4 linked regions of the Arabidopsis thaliana genome follow. The protein of the gene in region 2 interacts with the protein of the main gene of each other region in a pairwise test. Each region holds a gene or a part of one and is shown on either strand. Other genes may lie near its edges. The genes, in order: NRT1.1, CPK1, PUP14 and ERS2.

Region 1 (6,661 bases), on a different chromosome or scaffold from region 2:
GAGGGTTTTTTTCATTAAATTCCCTATAAACAATTCGATAGTAATTCATCGAAATTATAGCTAATAATTGGTATTTATCTGATTGAAAAATAATTGAAAAAAAAAACTGGATTGTTGATCAGTTTAGACTTTAGACTGATGATTCTTTATCCAATTAGCTACATAGTTGAAAGATATAAAAGTATATATCCAAAAAATAAAAGTAACAAGTGTAAACAAATAAAAGTAATATTCATCATTTGTCATATTTAATTTGTATTCATCATGATTATATATGTTTTGGACTTAATCATGCAGCTCCTTGATAATTCAAATTAATCACTTGACCAGTAGTCATCGAGAGACAATTGAGCCAGTAAATTCACAGAGCTCGGTCATAATTCAATTATAGTTTTAAAGACAACTTTTTTTGTTTACCAATATTACAAAAGAAAGGTGTGATAGTCCACTAGGCACTAGCTAGTGGCCTAGACGCCTAGTTCTGGTCCAAATTATTCACATATTCGAAAACAAACGATACCAAAACAAGTGAGAAAACAAACGTTGAATGGTATGATAATTTACTGGGAAAAAATGAAAAATGGAAATTGAAGACAAAAAGACGTTAATTGCGTCAAATCTTAAGAAATGTTACAATTTCTGCTTTTATACAGAACCTGATGGGAAAACTTTAACTTTTATCCCTTATCGGTCGGTCCATTATTTGTCGACTCGGAAACAAGAGGTAATTAAGAAAAGCATCATAAAATATACAAACAAAACTCAAAATCAAATTCAAACATATCAACATAGACATGCATAATGTTCATCATCATGATCATGATCATGAATTCATGATCAATGACCCATTGGAATACTCGGCTCATCATCCAACTCAATCCCCACCTCAGCTAGTCTTTTTTCCTTGTAAACGTACCACTTGGAGAAAACTAGGAAAATGAGGAAGTTCAAGGCAACAAGTACGGCCACAAGCCAGTAGAAATTGTAAAGACGGCCCTTGTTGAGATCATCGGCAATCCATGGATGAGCTTTCCCGGTGAATTTCTCGACGATTGTCACGAGAACCGAGCTGAAGAAAAAGCCTAATGCCAATGTGCTCAACAATAGACCCGTGCTCATCCCTTTCATACCTTTAGGGCACTCTCTCAAGAAGAAATCTAACTGTCCTGTGTAGATTAACGCTTCGCCGATACCGACAATAAGATATTGTGGGATGAGTAGATAAAACCCTAGAGGAAGCGTTTTGACTGTTGGACCATGAGCGTGTGCAGTTCTAAGACGTTTGAGCTCGACCAAAGCAGCCACAGCCATAGCCATTGATCCGAAGAAAAGCCCCAAACCGATCCGTTGAAGCGGTCTTAGACCATGGGGGTAGTTGAATAGCTTTTTGCATAGACGAATGGCGACGCGGTCATAGACGGCGGTGGTTAGGAGGAGGCCACCGACGTAGAAGACTGCCATCGATGCTGGAGGGATCTCGAAGCTCCCGATGGAACGGTCCAATGTCTCGGATTGTGCGACTGATAATGTCGTTAATTGAGCGTGGACGGTCCAGAAGAGGATGCATGTTGCCCAAATTGGTAACATTCGCACGATTTGTTTCACTTCCTCAACATCTGTTAGTGTTGAGAGTGTCCACTTGTTGAATACATTCGAGGTAACTCCCGCTTCCTGATCCCTTATTGCTGCCTTATCTAATGAACTGTGGCATCAAAAATGATATAAGGAATAATTAGAATATAATAGTAAATTATGTAAAATGGAGATAAAATATTTTACATATATTGGATTAAAGATAAGTATCTGATTTTTCAAACCAAAGATCTTTTGTGTGTTTCTTAGAAAATTATGAAGTGTCCCTATTTATTGAAATTTCATATCAATAATACATTGTTTCTTTTTTTGGAATATAGCTTACGCATTGAATATTTGAATCAACATGTTGTGGAGATAGTTACGTGGAATCTTTTCAAGATGATATATCCTTCACACACATGCATGACAAATACGTAATTGCTTTTAAAATAGTGTAGGCAAAAAAAAGTTAAGAGTTTGAATTTATGGAAAAGTGTAAAAGGTTTTTTCTTTAGTTTTCAACTACCTTTTAGAGAGACCCAAACGAAAGAGAAATTTAATGAAGCACCGAGCACGCAAAGCACGTGTCGTGCATGTGACGCTAGGGTTCTTAATTATGCCTAACTTTGGGTCTGTCCCGGTGAAGGTGTAAAGTAGTGGAGGTGCTACGACACGATATTTGATCGTTTTCACTACAGACAAAACACCTGCCTCCCTACCCTAACTTCTCGTCTCTTCTTCTTTATTAGTTTTATTTCCGAGAAAGGGATTCCAATATCTAGAGATGCTAAATAGATTTTCCATAAATTATCTGGTATAAAGAAAAATTGATTCCTTTGGATTCTTTTATTTCTATGTAGGTATGCATAGGGATTGATGGATAAAAGATACTGTACTTAAGTTAGCAAAAATAAAAGATACCGTACTTAAAGGGGGAAAACTCACGAGTCAGGGGAATATAAATATAGATATATGTGTGTCAGTGTATGTGTATTTAAAGTTATAAGGCATTAGAATCATAATCATAATTATAATACTATAATAAAGATAAAATAGCAAATTGGTGTATTTAATTTTCCGCAATGATGAAGATACTCTTTCTGTAAAAACCAAATATTCTACGAGTGGGTGTGAAATTTTTTATAGGCAAAAAGTAAAGATGGAGAATTTTACCCCACTTGATATCACTTGCATATACTTATTCATTTGTTTATCTGAATTACTTTATCTTTCCGACTAATTCCGAGAGACTACTTTTATTTTCCTACCTATTCTATGAACCGAACTTAACGTGTTATCTAACAAAGATATACACATGCACACACACATAGGATTTTAAGGAAAAAATATACAATATAAAATGCCAAAGTAGGGACTTTGAACCCAAAAATCCAAAAATGTTGTAATTAGCTGTATAATTCGTATCCTGGACCAGTTTCGCTGTATGGTCGAGTAATAATATTATGAAAATAATTTATTTTCCCCGTAACAAAAGACAAAGAAAGATATTCAACACCTTTTAATTAATTTATAATGGCTGTCAAAAAAAAATGATTTCTAATGCCAAGTAGGCATATAATGAGAAATATTTACGGTCCCACTATAATTAAAGGACACGAGCATTTCGAGTTATTTCTCACCCACACAACCCCACTTTTAATTTCACATTTTTAAAGTCTACTGATACTATCACATTTAATTAAGGGAACCAGTACCTCAATTATTTCAATTAACCCTTAAATGGAAAAGAAAAAGAAAAATTTTAAAACTTTTATCTTAAAATTTAAATCATTGTAAGTTTTGAGGATCGTACGTGGAAAGCAAATGATGAGTTAATTAAAAGAATCGTACCGGAATTGTTCAGTGTGTGGCAGCTTTTGTTTACCCTTCATCGAACCTTCCGCCGCAATAATATCATCCACATCGTAGAGATAGGACGGATCTGCCGGCAGCTCGAGCTTCCTATTCCTCCACGCCGCCACGATAACCGCAGCAACCTGCGTCATCGGGCTACCGATCAACTTCTTGAAACGGTAGCGGTTTGTTCCGGCCAAGAAAACGCTGAGTGCAAGCACGATCGCAAACGCGCAAATTCCATAGCCCCATTTGCGTCCAACATCGTCTTGTACGTAGACAAGGACCGTCACAGCTAAAAGAGAGCCAACGTTGATACAAAAGAAGAAACGGTTGAAGAAATATGTCATTTTCGATCGTTCTTTTGGTTCGGTCTCATCGAATTGGTCCGACCCGAAACCCGAGACACTAGCCTTCACGCCTCCCGTTCCTAGAGCGGTGAGGTATAAGGCTAAGTATAGGACCGTCAGTTGTATTCCACTTGCTTGTTCGCAGTGAGACGACGTTGTTGGATTGCATCTTGGTGGTCGAAGTCCCGGTATGATTGTTGATAGAGTTAAGATTGAAACACCCTGATAGCATCATAGTTCATAACACGGATATTATTTTTCGGAAAACTATAACAAAAATAACGACTTATGCTGTTTACTATTTCGATTTGTTTATTGACTAGACAATATTTTTATTTTCTTCGTTTTCTTGGGTATAAGTTTTGGTAAGGAGAAAGGGACTTTTGAGGTCCTTACCGTGGCTTGGATTGCGGCGAATATAGCAATCGTTAGGTACCTATACAAAACAAAATGAATGAACTCAAATTAATATTTTAAAAAGAATCTGAATGATTTTAGTTAAGTAAATATAAATATATTTATAGACAAACCTGCCGAGAAAGGTATCGGCGATGAAGCCACCGAGGAGACAGAGCATGAAAGAAGTTCCGAGGAAATTGGTAACGGTGTTAGCCGCAGTTGCATTGCCTAAATGCATAGTTCCCGTCAAATACGTCACCAGATTAACTCCGATACCTAACGTCGTCAGCCTCTCCACGGCCTCAATACCTTCACACAATAAAATTTTGTTAATGATAAAGTTGGATACATCGAGAATACATAAAAGAATAAGAATGATAGCCATAAGAAACTTATAACTTAGTAAATGCCATTAAAAAGTTTCAATTCTTGTCTTCAGCATGTATATTGTTGGTAGCTTTTCTCTAGAACTTTTATTATGTGATTATACTTACAAAGAATCATGGCGGCGCTGGCCCAGCCGCCGGTTTTTGAGCGATCGGCGGGACGGCCTTGGAAGTCCCAAGCATCAAGAAGGATATCATCAGATTTAGTTTCAGGAAGAGACATCTTGAAGATGGATTAATGATCTCTCTCTTTTTTTTGCAGTTTTTGGGGGTGTTTGTTCTTATGTAAAAGGCTGTTTTGTTTGAGAGCTCTTGGTTTCTTTTGTGGTCTTAAATGTGTTCGTTGATACATCTATTTATACTGGGAAACTAGCCAAGTTAAAAAAGTTTTTATTGTTTTATTTTGATTTTTTATTCATAAAACTAAAATATTGAAGAAAAAAGTGACACATGTGTGACTCTGATGAGTGTTGTTTGATTGGGGAGAGAATAATTAATAATAATAACTACTACTGTAACTGTAGTATATATTTGTAGAAAGAGAAAATTGAGAGAGAGAGAAAGAGACCATACCTAAATTTTACCACTTCCTCTACCTTTGGAACTGTGGGCTTGAACTTTTAAGTTGAAGTCATCGGTCATTTTGTCAGTGATTCAATGGCATTAGCCATTAAAAGCACCAGTTTTAGCCACCACCTGTTTTACATTTGTTCTATTTCTTGGAAAATTATTTTACTTCCATGAAAGATAATACAGTATGTTTTTTACGTCTGTACTATATATGGAAAATAATTCAAAATAATTGATTTCTGTGTTACAAACGCATTTTCATCAATATTGTTCATTTGAGATTTTGTAGTATTGTCGAGGCATATCTATTTCGTTTTTTGAGTTTGCCCAAAAGAAAAAAAAAATCTATTTCGTTTTTTGTTTGCTCAATATCAACTTTACTTCTAGGCCCATTCAGTTGTTCTGCAGCACAGCCATATCACAAAAATTTATTGATAATCGACTCATATTAATTTGAGAGTCATGTTTTCTTTCACATGTAATTATCAAATTATAATTTTATTGCATATAGTTTGAGGAAACTATTAAATTATATGAAATTTCAATCAAAACATCTTTATAGAAGTCAATAAAAGTCCTTTTAGGTATTTGCTTTTTGTTTGTCAACAATCTAGGTCTTTGTTACAAAATTGAAACCAAAGATTTGTAGATGTTGGTATGATTACGTACCAATTTTTTCTTCTTTTGTGTTAATGGGAAAGTCTACCTTGAGATTTAATGGCTCAAAATGAATGCTTCTTAGACGCCACTAAAATGAATCATGCTGCAATATGATTATTACCCTACTTTCCATTTATTTAACGTATAGTGAAATAAAATAAATAAAGAGCATGGTCACAGGACTTTCATGAACTATATATATAATTGGAAGTCTCGCAACTTCAATGGTTCTCTTTCTCTCTGGAGAAAACATATATAGGAGTATAAAGAAGAAGAACAAAGGTCATTTTCATTTTATAGAGCCAACAGAAAAATAAAAATAATTTATTCCAACAATTTGTAAGAGATGGTTAGTTAGTTTTATTAATAAGTCTCAAAGTCTATGTAAAATATCCAATATAAAAAACGAGTCAATTTTCAAGAAAAGCAAGAAATTGTATGTTACAGAAGTAAAACATACATTTGAATCAGTTTTTTATTTATTTATTAAGTAATTGATGAATTTCTATCCTCAATTAGTTAATTTTCGAAATTTATAAAATTTATTGTATACTATGTGTCATGATCCATCTCTTTCCGAGTTATTGATATGCAGATCGATGAAATTTTGAACCCATCAATAAACACTTTCTTCGTTGCTAGTTTCATATTGCTAAATTTACTATAATATCCCCAACAATCGATTATTTTGTACACATCCAAAGATTGTGGAAGAGCGAGAACAAAAAAGTCACAATGAAGAGTCCCATCCAAAAAGAAAAAGAGAACGAGTGGTGAACCCAAATATATTATCTTCTATTGAAATTAAATTAATAAACACATCCTCCGAAAAGGAATAAGAAAATAAATTAATGGAAACTTATAAAA
Region 2 (6,433 bases):
AATCATGATCACGTTTTGTGGACTGAAATTAGGAAATTTAAAAGGGATAGGGACGCAGTTTTGAAATAGACAATTTAATCAGTTTATTTAAATAAAACCAATTTAATAATTTTATAAATTAAAAAGTCGTACCCCAAAATAAACATTTTTAAATGTCAACAACAAACGCAAGCTTTAAATTATTTATTTTTGGAGAAATAACTTGATTGTGAGACCCACTTTTATATTTTTCCTCCATTTTTTTTGTTGTTCTAAAGAGTAAGTTAGGTATTTATGTTGACCAAAAACACTAGCTAAAAGATCATTTTATTCGTTTTTTCCAATCATAAAAAAGAAATTAATTATGTAAATGGAAAATAAAGATCTCAAAATACTACGTGTTTAGGATTAGGAGGTTTGGTGGCTATTATTTTCGGTGACCAATTTAATTATCTGCTTATAATTTAATTTGATTTCAGCTTAGATTCGGTAAGGACTTGAATTATATAATTCGGACAACAAATTAATTGAAATTCGGTTAAGTTATTTTATTTCTCAAAAAAAGAAAACTGGGAAATTACATAGAAGTACCTCAACTTTTAAACGATTTTCACATAAATACTCAAACTTTTTGCTTTACAAGAAAAAGCCCTCACAAAAATTTGATGATCGTTATCGCAAAATTTCCAAATCGTGTTCAAGTTTTTTGACTCTTTGAATTTACTTACAGACAAGAAATCGTGGTTTGTAATGTTAGAAGACTATATATGCTCAAGAAGTAACACAATACAACAAAGTTTCCAAAACAAGTCTAAGACAAAACCTCATCCAAAAGATTGAGAGAATCCAAAAGAGGGCAAGAGAGAATCTTGGCTGTGTGCATATGTCTTCAACATAATCAAAATGGTATATATTATCAGAAAACTCTTTTGTCTTCTTGGCTTTAGTTTTGTACTTTTAAATAGACTGAGAAACTAGAGTTTAAGAGCAATGCTAAAGCTTTTCTCTAGACCCATTTTCACAGGTCCTCCTGTGATGCTTCCTTTCTGCATCATCGCCACAAACTCGTTGTAGTCTATTCGCCCGTCCTACAATACAACAATTCAAATGTTCAACATTATCAACATTCAACCAATATATCAATCCAAAACCGACATGAAAACTCGGTTTACTTCACTGTTTCTCAGGAAAGAGAGTTTCTACTATCCCCCTAGGTTTAACAAGAATCATACTCAATCGTCTCAGTTTTCCCAAGAAAACAGACATGAAAACTCGGTAAGTGAAGTGTAGTTTTAATAATGCAAGGATTTAAGAGGATCATATAAGTGAGATTCCTATGAGTAAAATGTATATAATCCATTGAAATTTGATCATTGTTGAGAAGTATTCAAGTCATTTTATAATTAGGATGAGATGATAAAAGGTGTAAAGGAACTTACATTGTCTTGATCAACATCGCGCATCAGTTCTTCTATGCGGACATCCTCAACACCAAACTCCTCACAAGCTTGTTGAAGCTCGTCTGGGGTGATATAGCCGCTCCCATCTTTGTCAAAGTATGTAAAGGCTGCAAACAAATGGTCCTCTCTCTCTATTTTGTTTAGATGTAATGTTGCAGCTATGAACTCTTTGTAATCTATTGTTCCGCTGTTGTCCACATCAGCCTGAATTATATACACATGAGAGAGAAACCAGATTACTTGCATATCTAGCAAAAACAGAAGTATATAACCACAACCAACAGAGTAAGTTTGAATGATAACAAGATCAGTTCAGAATCTTAGTTAGGGAACTGGTATGCCGGTTAAAACTTACAGCTTGCATCAAGTCGAGAATTTCAGACTCTTTGAGATTCGCCCCTACTCGTTTTAGTCCTGCTTTCAGTTCTTCGAAAGTTATCTGACCACTCTTGTCCGCATCTATCATATTAAACATTTCTTTCAAGCCGGCGATTTCTTCTTCAGATAAGCTCTCAGCAATGACCTGCAAAAAGGCATAAAGAGAGAAACTTAATCTCCGTCGTCTCTTTCTTTCCACATAACAAGAGGAAGATGGGTTAAATGTAGCTATCTTATGTTTATGACAGGAACTTCTTTTATATGGTTTTAAATTTTGTTTAGCATCGGAAAGCTGCTTACTCTAAGAGCCATTTTCTTGAACTTGTTCATTGCAGAAAACTGCTTCATACGGCTCAGAACAGCAGAATCCAAAGGCTTGTCTGGAGCCACACCGTCGACTTGAACCCATGGATGACCTGAGAAGAAGCACAACTCCATAAGAGATAGAACGATGGTAGATCACTCTACATGACAACACACTTTATTCATGTAGTGAAATCTATGCTCAATGGAATTAACAGAAAGAGAATCACAGCGCTTTAACTGGAAGAGAAGGTTTCAGATCAAAATAACTTACATAATACTTGGTGGGCAGTTAACCTTTTCTTGGGATCCCTGACAAGCATTTTCCTCACTAAATCCTTTGCACTTTCAGATATACTTGGCCATGGATCGGACGAAAAGTCAAGATCACCGTGGAGGACCTGTTCGAAAATACCTTGTTCGGTTTCTGAATGTTCAAAGAAACAAAAAGATTAGAGATGTTGTTCAGAGCCTAGTTAGGAAAAGTGACAAATCTCTTATCTGTATATATACAATTCTTACCAGCCCAGAATGGAGGAACTCCGCTTAATAAAATGTACACAATCACTCCAGCACTCCAGACATCAGCTTCAGGGCCATAACGCTTTCGAAGAACTTCTGGGGCAACATAATATGGGCTACCAACAACATCTGTAAAAACATCGTCTGCAAAGAGGAAGGGAATCGAGTTCAGAAATAATTGTTCGACAAGGATCACACTATTCACGTTAAAGACCAAATCTGGAAGTGGATCTTTTAAGATGAGTAACAATGAAATCAAACCTGGTTTAAAGAACATGGAGAGTCCAAAATCAATCGTCTTCAAGAGGGAATCTTCGTGTTTACTGACAAACAGAAAATTCTCGGGCTTGAGGTCTCGATGCATAACACCAAGAGAATGGCAAGCCTCTACAACCCCAACAATGGTTCTAGTGAGCTCAGCCGCTTTCCTCTCTGTGTAGTGACCGCGTTGAATGATCCTGTCAAAAAGCTCGCCGCCTGCACAACACTCCATTACAAGGTGCACTGCCACAACATCCTCATAAGCTCCTTTGATGGAGATGACATTAGGGTGACCAGCCAAGTGATGCATTATCTGAATTTCTCTTCTCACATCCTCAACGTCCTCATCAGTCAATAGCTTCCTCTTAGCAATCGACTTGCAGGCAAACTCCTTCCCCGTAGTCTTCTCGACACATAAAAAAGTCGTCCCAAATTGCCCTTGTCCGAGTTTCCTTCCCAAGGAATAGAATTCCTTGAAGTTTTCAGTCTTCCTCTGCAACACTGACTCAGTCCTAAGCCCTGCACTTGACACTCTCTTCATGTGTTTAGGCTTCTTAGGTTTAGCTGGAGGATCAGGTTTTGACTCCGGCTTGGTCTCTGACTTGGTCTCCTGCTTAGTCTCTGGTTTGGACTCAAGGCTTATCTCCTCTAGCGTTTCAGGCTTGCTTTCAGTTCGAATCTCTCTGTCCTTGGTCTCGACGTCAGTCCCTGGCTTCGGCATTGTGACCTGTTCAGGAGGTTTATTCTGGACTTCATCAGATAATCGAGATCGAAGCTCTCCCGAAACAGCTTCACTTGCAATATCTCCATTACTCATGGAAGCCGAATCATCTCCATCTCTTGGCCGCCACATTGCAGCTGAAACAGATTGCAAGAAGCCATTTCTGCTTGGTCCAACACAAGTATTACCCATTCCCTAACTTGTCTTAAATCTCTTTCACCAGAAATAGCATCAAGATCTGATTACAATAACCTCAAAAACAATCTAATCTCATTACTAATCTGATAAAAGTCAAATCCTTTCGATCTTAAAACCATCAGACATCAAACCTCGGACTTCTCAGACGATTGAATTTCTACACAGCTGAACTGATAAACCCAACTTGGATGAGGAGAAACAGCAGAGAGCTTGCTTATACAGAGGTGAGAAATAGCAAGAAAAATCAAAAGGGTATCGGAAAAATCATGACTTGAAACAAACCCAGAAAATAGAAAGTCACAATGAAGGAAACCAAACAGAGAGTAGAAAGCATCCCCAGATAACAACAACAAAGAAAGAAACAGAGAGATCTGAAGAAGAGTAAAGAGAAAGAATGAGAAAATAAATTGAGTTGGGTGGGAAAATAAAAGGGATAGTTTAATAGCACTACACTTGCATAAACCGTAGGGACATTTGTTAATTTAATGAGAGAGTCAAGGTCTGTATAGAGAAGAAGACGATGAAGAAAGACGAAGAAGAAGATTGAACCAGTTTGAAAAACGCGTTTCTTTTGTTTTGATTATCTATCACCGCCGAGTTTTCCGCTGAGATTTGTCTTAACTCTCTTTTTAATTAATCTTTGATTACAAAGTCCACCACCCTCTTCAATCTTGGCAACGCAGCTTCTTATGTAAGGGTACTTAATTAGTAATATATTAAAACTTTGAGGTAAAAAGGTGATTTTCCATAAAATCAATTTCCTTTCTGGAGTCCTAATAACATCCTTTTTATAATGGTCCCATCATTTACTACTTTTGAAAAATATAACCCGCAAGTGAAAAATGCGCAAACAAAACCCACATATTAAAGAGCAGTCATTAAAAATAAGACATCCACATGTTAAAGCTTGAACAAATCACATGCTCTACACATTCTTGTCTTCGCCCTTATGTTTTACCCTAATTACTCCTTCCGACCACAGCTATTATTGAAGATCAAAACCTAGACCAGAACTAATATTGTAGAGACGGCGAGTTTGGTGTTCTAAACATCATGATCACCACTTTCCATTGTTTTTGCTGGTCCTAACGGAACACTCAAGCACCCTTCCTTTTTCCAGTAGATAAGCCAATGAGATGTCCCTACTGCAATAGAACGGTATGAATCTCTGGACACTCTGTTATTGATTTGATATGGAAAGAATGCTTGCCTAAAACAAAAACGAAGCTCACTATTGTTATCAAGAGATGGTGGTTTGAATCAGTATTTAAGAAGATATGATTTGTGGCAAAGACGCTCACTATGATGTGTATGAGACTTGGTTTGATGTAGTGCAGTATGTTCTGATAGTAGATTATCAATCATCACAACAGCGTTTTTTGGTGACAAAAGTCTGTTCATTGCCTCTGCCACGTCCTGATCAAGTAAACATCCAAGGACCTCCAAAAACAGATGATCCTTATTACAGAGATTCTCAATCTTTTCCGTACTTGTTCCTTGATTGATCCTTTTCACTATGACGAAATTAAATTGACAACTGTTTCCATATCTTGCTATGAGGAACAAAATTTCCTAGTCATGACTATAAAATGAAAAGTAACCTATTCGGCATTCTGTTTATGACACTAATAGAGAACAAGTGTGGGAAAGGGAAATGACGGTATTCAAGTGTGTGTCTTCCATTGACCGGAAAATAAGGTAAGAAAACCCTCACCTTTCTTATCATGTGTTGCGCTTGGAAATGGAAGAATCTCTTTATGCTTCTTTTCGCCACCTCTAAATCCTCCAACTGCATGAACACAATTCTATATCAGATATATGAGTGTGCACCATCAACTAAGTAACAGTCCAAAACCATCTAACTGACTAATGCGCGAAGACACCTACATTGGCTCAATCTTTGGCTGACCAGGTTTTCTGTTCCTAGCATCAAATACTATATTCTCGAGAAAATCCATATTGCTAACACCAGGGATCTCAACTGGAGTTTGGAGACTCAAGAAGAGAACCGCAAGAGATCCTTACATATCATGCAGATGCTCGGCTTTAAACACAATGATTTATGAGAGGGGTACGAGTAGAGATACTCTAGGAATCATATGTTTCAACAACATGAAGATTGAGAAACTTACCTTGAAAAAATGTGTTCATAAGCAAAAAACTTACGAGCCTCAACCTTTCATAATATTAGTTAGGAAATATCAGCAATGATGCAAATGATTCACACAATTGGAATTAGTTAAGCTTGTCAGAAATTTTAGCTAATGCTCTCTTAGTACAGAAATAATATCCAATAGAATCACGGCTAACAAACTTCACAACGTCTATATGTACTAGTGTTTCATTAACATGAAAAATCTCTCCTTTCTTCCACAATTCAACAATCACAAGCACTTAAATCCCTAACCTCAATCAAACGGCTCCTATTCCCGTCATCATGATCCGAGGATGGAGACAAAGTCGACAGAAGAAGAATCGGAGAGGAAAAAGGAGAGCTTTTTACGGCGGTGGATACACAGAGCAGCGACTCAGAAACCTCGCGAAGGCTTATGAGGAAGATACAGTAGAAGCGTATTGAGCAGTTCAGTGTTCGCAACGGAGGCCATAGAGA
Region 3 (3,581 bases), on a different chromosome or scaffold from region 2:
TGAAGGCTCTAACTGAAGTAGAGGCTTTCGCTTTAGAAGCGGAAGAGCTCAAGTTTGTGGCTAGTCAGTTCAGGCGTCTTCACAGTCGTCAGGTTCAACAAACTTTCAGGTTTTACTCTCAACAATGGAGGACTTGGGCTGCTTGTTTCATCCAAGCCGCTTGGCGTAGACATTTAAGAAGGAAAATCGCAGAGCTTAGACGTAAAGAAGAAGAAGAAGAAGAAATGGATTATGAAGATGATGAATATTATGATGATAATATGGGTGGTATGGTTACAAGGAGTGATAGTTCTGTTGGATCAAGTTCTACATTACGTTCCACGGTATTTGCATCAAGATTTGCTGCTAACGCGCTTAAGGGTCATAAACTAAGGGTCACCGAGAGTTCAAAGAGTTTAATGAATTTAACAAAGCCATCAGAACCTGACTTTGAGGCTCTTGATACAGATGACTTGAACTAAGTACTTATAGATTGCACACTTCCAAACATTTTCATTGTAAAACATACAAATTTACATCTATAACCAAAGCTGTTACACACTTACACTTACACAAGATAAACACCTAGAATATATGATTAGATATACACACAAAAAATCAAGGGAAATAAAAAAACTTTCTTTAGAGATTCAAGAATCCAAACCTAATAAGCCATACGATTGTCTTTGTGAAGCCTAAAGAAATAAGCTGCAGCGCTTAAGACGGCAGTAACCAAGGCAACACCTTTGAAGGCATCAAACTCATCATCCATGAAATTGAAGAAGATCACCACAAGAACCGACACAATCGGCCACGTAATGACACTGATCACATTCGACAACACGCTCGAAACAGAGTAGACAAGTCCAACAATCCCAACCCAATAGACCTGCCACGAAACAGCTTGACCAACCATAGCCATCACATAAGAACCTTTCCCTTTCGAGAATCCATTCATTTCCCTCTTCAAATCGTGTTGCTCACCGGCTATAAGCAGACCCACGACGGAGATGATCGTAGCAACGAGAGAAGAGAAGATAATAACTTCGAAAACAGAGGCAAAGCTTGGTTTTTGATTGGTTGATTCAGTTCGTTTGAAGATGTAACTGTCGAAGACGTTTTGGATGTTACAGAGAAGAAGAGCGAAACAGATTCCAGCGAACAGAGCAGCCCATGAGCCTCTAGCGTAATTCTCCTCTGCTTCATCAGGCTCACCACCGAATGAAGAAGACAGAGTAAGAGCTCCGGTGATGATAGCTAAGATCACAGAGATAACAACCCATCGATTGAATTTGATTTTGTTAATGAAAGCTGCGAAGATAGGAGTGAAGAAGAGCTGTGCTGTGTAGATCAGAGTGAAAACACCAAATGGGATCTCGAGTTTTCCCATGGCTGCGAGTCTTCCTTGAACGGACATGATAATTCCGATGCAAATGTAGATCACAGCTAAGGATTTTAAGTGGATTGAATCGGAAGTGATCGGAGGTTGTTGATGGTGGTTGCGTTTGTTCTTGGTGATGAAGATGAGGAACGGGAGAAGAAGGAGAGGGAAACCAACAGTTTGGAGAAGAGATTGAGTCCAAACGCCATCGTTTTGACGGTTTTCGTTGTATTCGCTTCGGTTGGTTTTGTCGTAGTAGAAGTTTTCGAGGAGTTTCGCTATGGATTGACCGATGATGACGAAGATGATTGAGATGGTGATGGTTGGCCAGTGGTTTGGTTTCCGGATTGTGTTTCCGGTTTGGTTCATGCGTGTGGTTGAAGAATCACGCTCGATGTTGATAGGTATTTGCACAAATTGTTCTGCAAAAAGAAACAGAGGAAATTAGAATCAAATTGTTTTGTAAGAAGAGGAGATCAAGAAACGAGAGATCTGGTTTGTTGATTCTTATTATTACCTGGAGGTTTGGTCTGGAAAATAGGTTGTTGATTCTGAGCCATGGATTGGAACTGATTGTCGGAGATTCTGAGCGGATTTGAGTTCAATGTATGTCGGCGATTAGATTTGGTAATATGTGATATTTGGAGTGGATGATGTTGTGGGATAAAGGAAAGAGAAGGGTTTATTATATATGGGCACGAAAAGTCTACCCTGGCGGCGTAATGGTCAATCAAGCGAGCCTCATGTCTACGCGTCGTCGTTTTCAACTTGTTCCGGGTTGTTTCGTCATCCAAAAAAGTGTGTAAACAACACTTAGAAGTAACTTATTCTTGTCTTTACAAAATCCAAGCAATAATCGACAAAAGATGATGAGAAATATTTGAGGTTTTGAATCTTGATTGTTTTCTATCAACGAATATTCCGAATTGGATTTATGGTTCGAAGGTTATATAAGGAAATGGTATAGTTAAGTTTAAGTTATATTGACTTTGTTTGTTTTGGGGGTTTGACCTTTGGGATTATCCAACATCCTACGTTTCGGAAATTTTGAACTAACACGATGCCCACTTGGCAGCTCACTACTTGTAATATGATACTCTCTTAAATGCGTGTCTTCTTATGACTTCATCTTAGAATATCATACTTCATGTAAGGATTTTGGTATATGACATTTTATAATGCTCAAGATATAATCCCAAAGGTGCAAGATTAGAATGAACTTGAACTTCGAATCAAATTGTTTGCAATAACTAAACAAATTTTGAACTCAGATTCAATGTTGTTCAACGTAACATTGATCATTTTTCAACCAAATGAGCTTCGAAAGTTTGGATTTTACAAAATAAGAGATTAAGGGTAACAAACAAAGGCAATTTCCTTGGTGCTCATTTGACACATTTTACTTAAGAATCATACAAAATCTCTATGTACACAATTGCCTCGTTTGACTATATAAACGTCCTCACACTGTTTCCACGACGCTATACCCATTATGACCCATAGGCATACATGCTCTCAAATATACACTGGACCCGTAATTAAAATAACATTTTAATACTTAACAAATTAGCATGTCTTGACCAAGAGACTGAAGCAGCCAAAGTTGTCCAGAGCAATAGCTCAAGTAGGCATAACCTATTACTGTGTTAATAGATTCACAAAGGCAAAACAACTATTACTAAACCTTCATGGATTACTCATCTATATAAGTTCTAGACATGTGTTTTGAATTCCCCGGTTCATCATCGGTACAATAGTTTCAGAACTAAAACGCTATGGGGCATTGAATTTGAAACTGTGATCACGCAAACTTCTTAAATAGAACACCCATTAGAACACCCATATGACCCATAGGCATAAAAGCTATCAACTACACTGGACCCATAATTAAAGAACACAGCATATCACCAAATCAACTTGAGGCAGCCTAGCCACAGTTGTCCAGCTTAAGTAGGCATAATCTGTCATGTGTTAATTGAATTCACACAGACAAAGCAACTATTACTAACCTTCATGGATTATACATTTCGGCATATCATCATCTATACCAGTTTTAGACTTTTGTTATAGTTTCAGTACTAAAACGCTATGGGGCAATGAAACTCTGATCAACAAAATTTCTTTAGATAGCATTTCCACAGGCTTTTCAATGAACATGCCACAACTCGAGAAGTGAGGATTTGGTATTAAAAGCCTTAACTTGCATCACTACATTATTCTA
Region 4 (5,547 bases), on a different chromosome or scaffold from region 2:
AAACAAAAAAAAATCAGCCGAAAAATTAGAGGGCGGCGAAGCAATATATCATTTCAATCAGCTAAAATATCCAGAGAAACCTCATAATTTCATCAAAGACATCGGAAAACAAAACAAAGCCCAGATGAAATCAACGATCGGGGAAAATCAAAATCGGTGTGGTATCAAAATGAAAGACTGTAATCGGAACATAAAGCCTCGCAAAATCCGAAGAACAAAGGAGGAGATATAGAAGAAGCTTATTGGTTGTAGATCGAAGCGAACCTGAGATGGTGGAAGAAAGAGCAAAGAGAAGCTAATTCGTTGAATGGGCTAATGGCAGCTCCTATGAGATTCTACAGAGAGAGAACAAACCAAAAAAGACGACGGAGGAAAAGAAAGAGAGATAAATAGAGAGAAAGAGAGGTCGCACGAATCACCTCAATGTTAAAAAAAAAAAATCACATAAACCTTTTAAAAACAAAAGTTAATTAAAAGGTCGAAGTTAATATGTACCTGGATACATATTGTGGATACAAGTTGTATACGGTTTCTGGATCAGAAATCAATAAATTTATAAGCTTCATCTAAAACGTCACAATATTTGACAAAGGAGTTGGTAGGCTTGTAAATCACAAATCCGTAAGGAACATCCTCCGACACATTTTTTTACTTTGAATTCTGTTATCACCAGCAAGTTACAACAAGTCTGCATCATACCTTTTGCCTACACGATAGGTTAAAACCTAGTTAACTTTCAGGTTTTTACAACCGAACGACAACGTTTTAGTACTCTCTCTGTTAATCTCATTAAAGCCCCTACTGTTTTTACAAATTCTCAGATTCCACCCCTTAAATCTTTCTTTTGCACTACATTCCCCTCCCCCCCTTCCTGACGTCAATGATCAGTGGCTAGTAGACGGAGGAGTTGAGGTTCTAAACGTTTCTCCAGAATATCCACCGCCTCTCGACATCATCGATCGCCGGAGTTGAAACCGGAAAACAACTGAGACGCTTTTCACCAAACCTAGACCGTCCTCAACAACCCGAATATTCCCTTGCATATACTGTCACAAAACAAGATAAAAGTGTTAAACCAAGTCATTAGCACATTTACATACAAAACACAAATGACCAACCTTTACAATGTTTTGGCAAGCGTTGAGACTCGGATTCTCTTCCTCCTCCTCCAGGTTACTACCACTACTACTACTACTACTCTCTTCACCTTCAGCAGTTACCTCGAATCCGAATCTAACTTCCATGTATTCTTTCGAATAGCAATGTCGCCAAACCGCTTCTTGAATATCTTTCCTCTCTGATACGTCTGAGTTCCCGCTTTCCGGAAAAACCCAGAAAGTCACATTCCCTTTGATCTTTCGATTCATTAGAACCCCAAGCATATGCAAAATCGCTTGAAAGACCTTTCTATCATCACCTACGACGTAGTCAGGCAATGCTCTATAAACTTCAGCTGAGAAACCAAAACCATTTGCCATGCATAAACACCTCGCCACGCAAGCTGACTCTTTCACAACCGAATGCAAACTGAAATAATGAGTCTCTGCAGCGCGGATTGTCCCATTGTTTATATCTCCGGCATTGTTTACAAGCTGTACAAGTAACTCGCTGGTTCTCCTCATTGCATCAACGATAACAGTCTGGTTCTCGGGTAACTTCCCATCCTGAAGTATCAAAGGAAGCAACCCGAGAATGGACCGCACAGGACACCTCATTGCATCGCTCATCATCTGCTCGAACGCAGCCTTGGCTTGATTAGCTCTCAGTGCGTTCTCCCTCGCAACCTGAAGCGCTCGGTTCTGTTCAGCGAGTTTCTCTCTCATAAGCTGAGATTCTTCAAGAATCACGGCGTGAGAGATTGCAACCGCCACTTGATCAGCCACCACCTTAACAATCTCAAGCTCTTGATAAGTCCAAGCCTGCGGCTGTCTCAATGGAAGCACACACACCAATATCGCATAACACATGTGAATCGCCTCTGGTGTCCCGCCTTTAAAGTTACAAACCCGAAGCATAGGGACTCTTATCCCAACCGTAGGACCTGACTTCCCTCGGCTAGTCACTGAGGCAAGCACAGAACCAGGGCTCAACATATTCACCTCTTCGCTTCTCTTAATCCTCACAACATCAGACTCACTAATCGGTATCGAGAACCCAGCATAACCACCAAAATGCTCATTCTCATTCTCATCATCAATCCTCGGTCTTAACTCATGAGTAAGATTCATCTCCGTCTTGATCTCATTCGGGATCCAAACCGCACAGTTCTTGAGCCCCAGAGTCTTGGACAACTCCACAAGCGTAGTGTATAGAATGGTGTGTCGATCAAGAGACGTCCTAATCTTGGTAGTGAGCATACGAACATGCAAACTCGTCTCAGTCTGCTTCATAATGATCCCAACCTCACGATCAAGCTCTCTGGTCTTCTTACTCAACATAAACTCACGAACCTTAGCCTTAAGAAGCAATGGTAAGAGAGTGACTAACGAGAGTGCCGTGAGGAAAGAGACGATACCAGTCAGCATCTTGAAGACAGTGACAGCTGTCATGACCCAAGGCCAGTGAGGCCCGTAGGTGAAACCAGCGAGCAAATGGGTCATGCCGCAGAGAACAATGAAGGCTATAAACTCGCAGACCACCCAATTGTAAGGTGAAGGCACATTGGTGCGGCTCACGAAGTAAACCAGCTCGATTGGGATCGAGAAATAAGCGATTGCGATAAGAAAGTCGCCGACTTTTTGCGAGTTGAGGATTGTCTCGTAGCTAAAGAGACTGTCTTCGTCGTCGCAGTTGCATAACGACAAGCTACCGTCGTCTTCTGCGGCGGTGACGACGGAACCGATTAAGAAGAAGAAGAAGAAGACAAGCCATTGGACTAACAATGTCTTTAACATCGATTACTGTTTCCCTGAGTAAGAATTAATTAAAAAGGTGAGATTTTTATTCATACCCAGAACTCAAAATCGAGATTTTTCAATTCAATATGCGTAACGTTTGGATTTTGTATACCCAGAATTGTGCAATTACCTATGAACATAGTGAAAATCAAAATCAGAAAAAGATTCAAAATTCAAAACTTGTTCAAGGAGAGAGTAAAGTTAATGTCTTTTAGATTATAAATCTTTTTCACAACAAGGACCGAATTTGTAAATTAATTTTCTTTTAATCCCCTAAATGTATGAAGTTATGAACCACCCACAAGAACAAACATCAAAATCTACCGATTCCTCACAAAATCCGCAGAAAATTCAAAATCAGATGAGAAATAGCGAAAAGGAACATCAAACCCATCTCACATTTGAGAAATCATATACCTGCAACGTAGTGATCAGCCAAAAATCTCTTTTCCAGAAAACGTAAAAGCTGTAGAAGAAGAAGAAGAAGAAGTCTAAACGATTGTTGAATCTTACGAAACTCACCAGAATGTGTAGAGAGAGAGACAAGTTAGGGAAGTAAATATGTGTGTGAGCAGAGTCTCTCGCTCTCTCTTTTTCTGTGTCTGCTGCGATAGAGAGAGTAGATTTACGTTTTGGTGAGAGAGAGAGAGAGAGAGAGAGAGAGAGGGAGGAATTGGGGGGAGAGTGAAGAAGGAAAGGGGGGTGGGACCCAGAAACGGTACATGAAGAGAACATAGACGCTTTTCGTTTGGAACACAACACGAGCACGACATCTTCTTCTTCTTCTTCTTGACCTACGTGGACTCTTACCAAATTCAATTTTAGAGGATTCTTCTTCTTTTTTTAATCTTTCCTTTTCAGCTTTATTAATTAATGACTCTATTTTCAAGATTTATGACTCTTAATACCTATCCCAAATTTTATTCTGCTTTTGGATTACAATAAACAACCTATAATAATATATATATATATTTATATTTCTATTATTTTATGTATAAAAATAAATCTATTCTTTTTAATGTTTAAAAATTAGTTAATTATATTAAATAAATGTTTTATTTCTATTATGGATGATTACATTGGTTTTTTAGAAAGTGAGATTACATGACCAAATAGTAGTATAAGTTTACATTAAAACCAAAAAATTGCATTAAACAATGATAACTACTAGACTATGCAAGTATGAAGTCTACTCACTAAATATCTAAGTTAAAAATAGTATTGACTTAAACGGCACAATTTGCGGCTGATTTGATAACATAATGAGTTAGTTTATTCGACTGACTTAAGATATTTGGTAGATAATTAAATATGCAATGCTATTTTTCGTTTGTAAAACGTTATATTGACCTACCTTGCTACTTATTAGACATGATTTAGTTAAACACTCCATCTTTGTTTTTCTACTCAATAATAACAATACCGAATCAAATTTCTTTGTGGGTCTACCGCCACTTAACTCTTATCAGAAAATGGAGTCTTAACTAAGTGCATGATCATCTCTTTGGATCCCAATATCACTAAATTATCGATCGTACTACTAATTTTTCTTGGCAATTTTATCATTTTATTGGTAATATTTCCCTTTCAAGAAATCAATATGATCAACCACTAACTTTTCTTTGTAAACCGCAAATTTAGAAAAATATATACACATGAAAATCCGTATATTTTGATTGCCCTATTGAAATTTAGTACAAGTAATATATAAACTAGCTACATAACCTCGACAATAACGAACACTTATCAGATTTAGAAGACAAAACTAACAGCAATCTTGCTATATCGGTTTGAATTTTATGTTTTTGTTTATTAATATGAATTTGATCTTAGTGGATGCACTAGGAACATTTTATGGTCAAGGTTTTATACCAATATAAATCTTTTAAATAAATAACCAGTGGTCTAGTGGTAGAATAGTACCCTGCCACGGTACAGACCCGGGTTCGATTCCCGGCTGGTGCAGATTGTATTTTTTTCCTGTTATACAGGTTTTTTCGCTTTTTTCTTTTTCTTTTTTTCTGAATCCAATGCTATTATTGGCCACGTGTCGAGCGATGAACACGTGCTGATTCCTTTCCTTTTCTGTCTACATTCTCGTCACTATTACAAAACAAATGTCTTCTCCTTTTAAAGAAATCACTGGTAAGAATGCATGCATCATAAAACTTTTATCAAAGAAATAGAAATAGTGCATGCACCTTTGCCACTTAAGCCAATATATATGCAAATCAAAACAGATGTACACAGAATCATTTTTACTTTTTTTGCATGAGACCACATACATATACAGTATAATCTTTTGTCTGTAAAGGCAATCCAGTACAAGACTAGCTAATGTTTGATAGACGTTTCATTTATACAGCAAGAGCGGGACTGATTGTTTATATACGGAAATTCATCAAATATTCAAATTGATTTAAAAAAATGGTGATTTGAATTACTTTTATAGTCAGATGATTTGATCAATACATTTACATCTTCTTTCCGGTGACATTATAAAAACGTTTAATACTTCTTTTAAAATTTAGTATTTTTCATGTATATAAAACATGTATCCTTGATCTTTCATTCCTTCTCTCGTTTTTTGGGACCAACTTTCTGTTTAGGTACGTCTTCCTTAGAATATACGAGATTCTCTTGAGTCTTG

The links.
Region 1: the proteins of CPK1 (region 2) and NRT1.1 interact in a protein complementation assay, tested with the Arabidopsis thaliana proteins (one large-scale study listed by BioGRID).
Region 3: the proteins of CPK1 (region 2) and PUP14 interact in a protein complementation assay, tested with the Arabidopsis thaliana proteins (one large-scale study listed by BioGRID).
Region 4: the proteins of CPK1 (region 2) and ERS2 interact in a protein complementation assay, tested with the Arabidopsis thaliana proteins (one large-scale study listed by BioGRID).

What each region holds. Positions count from the first base shown.
Region 1 is NC_003070.9:4,103,467-4,110,127, reverse strand, and holds NRT1.1 (nitrate transporter 1.1), read right to left. Parts: upstream 4,906-6,661; 5' UTR 4,788-4,905; coding exon 4,673-4,787; intron 4,488-4,672; coding exon 4,310-4,487; intron 4,216-4,309; coding exon 4,176-4,215; intron 4,002-4,175; coding exon 3,427-4,001; intron 1,703-3,426; coding exon 838-1,702; 3' UTR 527-837; downstream 1-526. UniProt on the Arabidopsis thaliana protein: Dual affinity nitrate transporter. Involved in proton-dependent nitrate uptake and in the regulation of the nitrate transporter NRT2.1.
Region 2 is NC_003076.8:1,416,062-1,422,494, forward strand, and holds CPK1 (calcium dependent protein kinase 1), read right to left. Parts: upstream 4,494-6,433; 5' UTR 3,817-4,493; coding exon 2,904-3,816; intron 2,787-2,903; coding exon 2,643-2,786; intron 2,548-2,642; coding exon 2,395-2,547; intron 2,234-2,394; coding exon 2,118-2,233; intron 1,963-2,117; coding exon 1,795-1,962; intron 1,644-1,794; coding exon 1,419-1,643; intron 1,068-1,418; coding exon 954-1,067; 3' UTR 503-953; downstream 1-502. UniProt on the Arabidopsis thaliana protein: May play a role in signal transduction pathways that involve calcium as a second messenger. Phosphorylates the Ca(2+)-ATPase ACA2 resulting in the inhibition of its calcium activation.
Region 3 is NC_003070.9:6,830,765-6,834,345, reverse strand, and holds PUP14 (purine permease 14), read right to left. Parts: upstream 2,022-3,581; 5' UTR 1,921-2,021; coding exon 1,878-1,920; intron 1,783-1,877; coding exon 644-1,782; 3' UTR 509-643; downstream 1-508. Other genes in the region: CNGC8 (cyclic nucleotide gated channel 8), read left to right, coding at 1-461. UniProt on the Arabidopsis thaliana protein: Purine permease implicated in ATP-dependent cytokinin translocation that controls the spatiotemporal landscape of cytokinin signaling. Depletes ligands from the apoplast, which leads to a suppression of the cytokinin response.
Region 4 is NC_003070.9:1,154,232-1,159,778, forward strand, and holds ERS2 (ethylene response sensor 2), read right to left. Parts: upstream 3,583-5,547; 5' UTR 3,315-3,582; intron 2,909-3,314; 5' UTR 2,895-2,908; coding exon 1,119-2,894; intron 1,047-1,118; coding exon 885-1,046; 3' UTR 533-884; downstream 1-532. UniProt on the Arabidopsis thaliana protein: Ethylene receptor related to bacterial two-component regulators. Acts as a redundant negative regulator of ethylene signaling.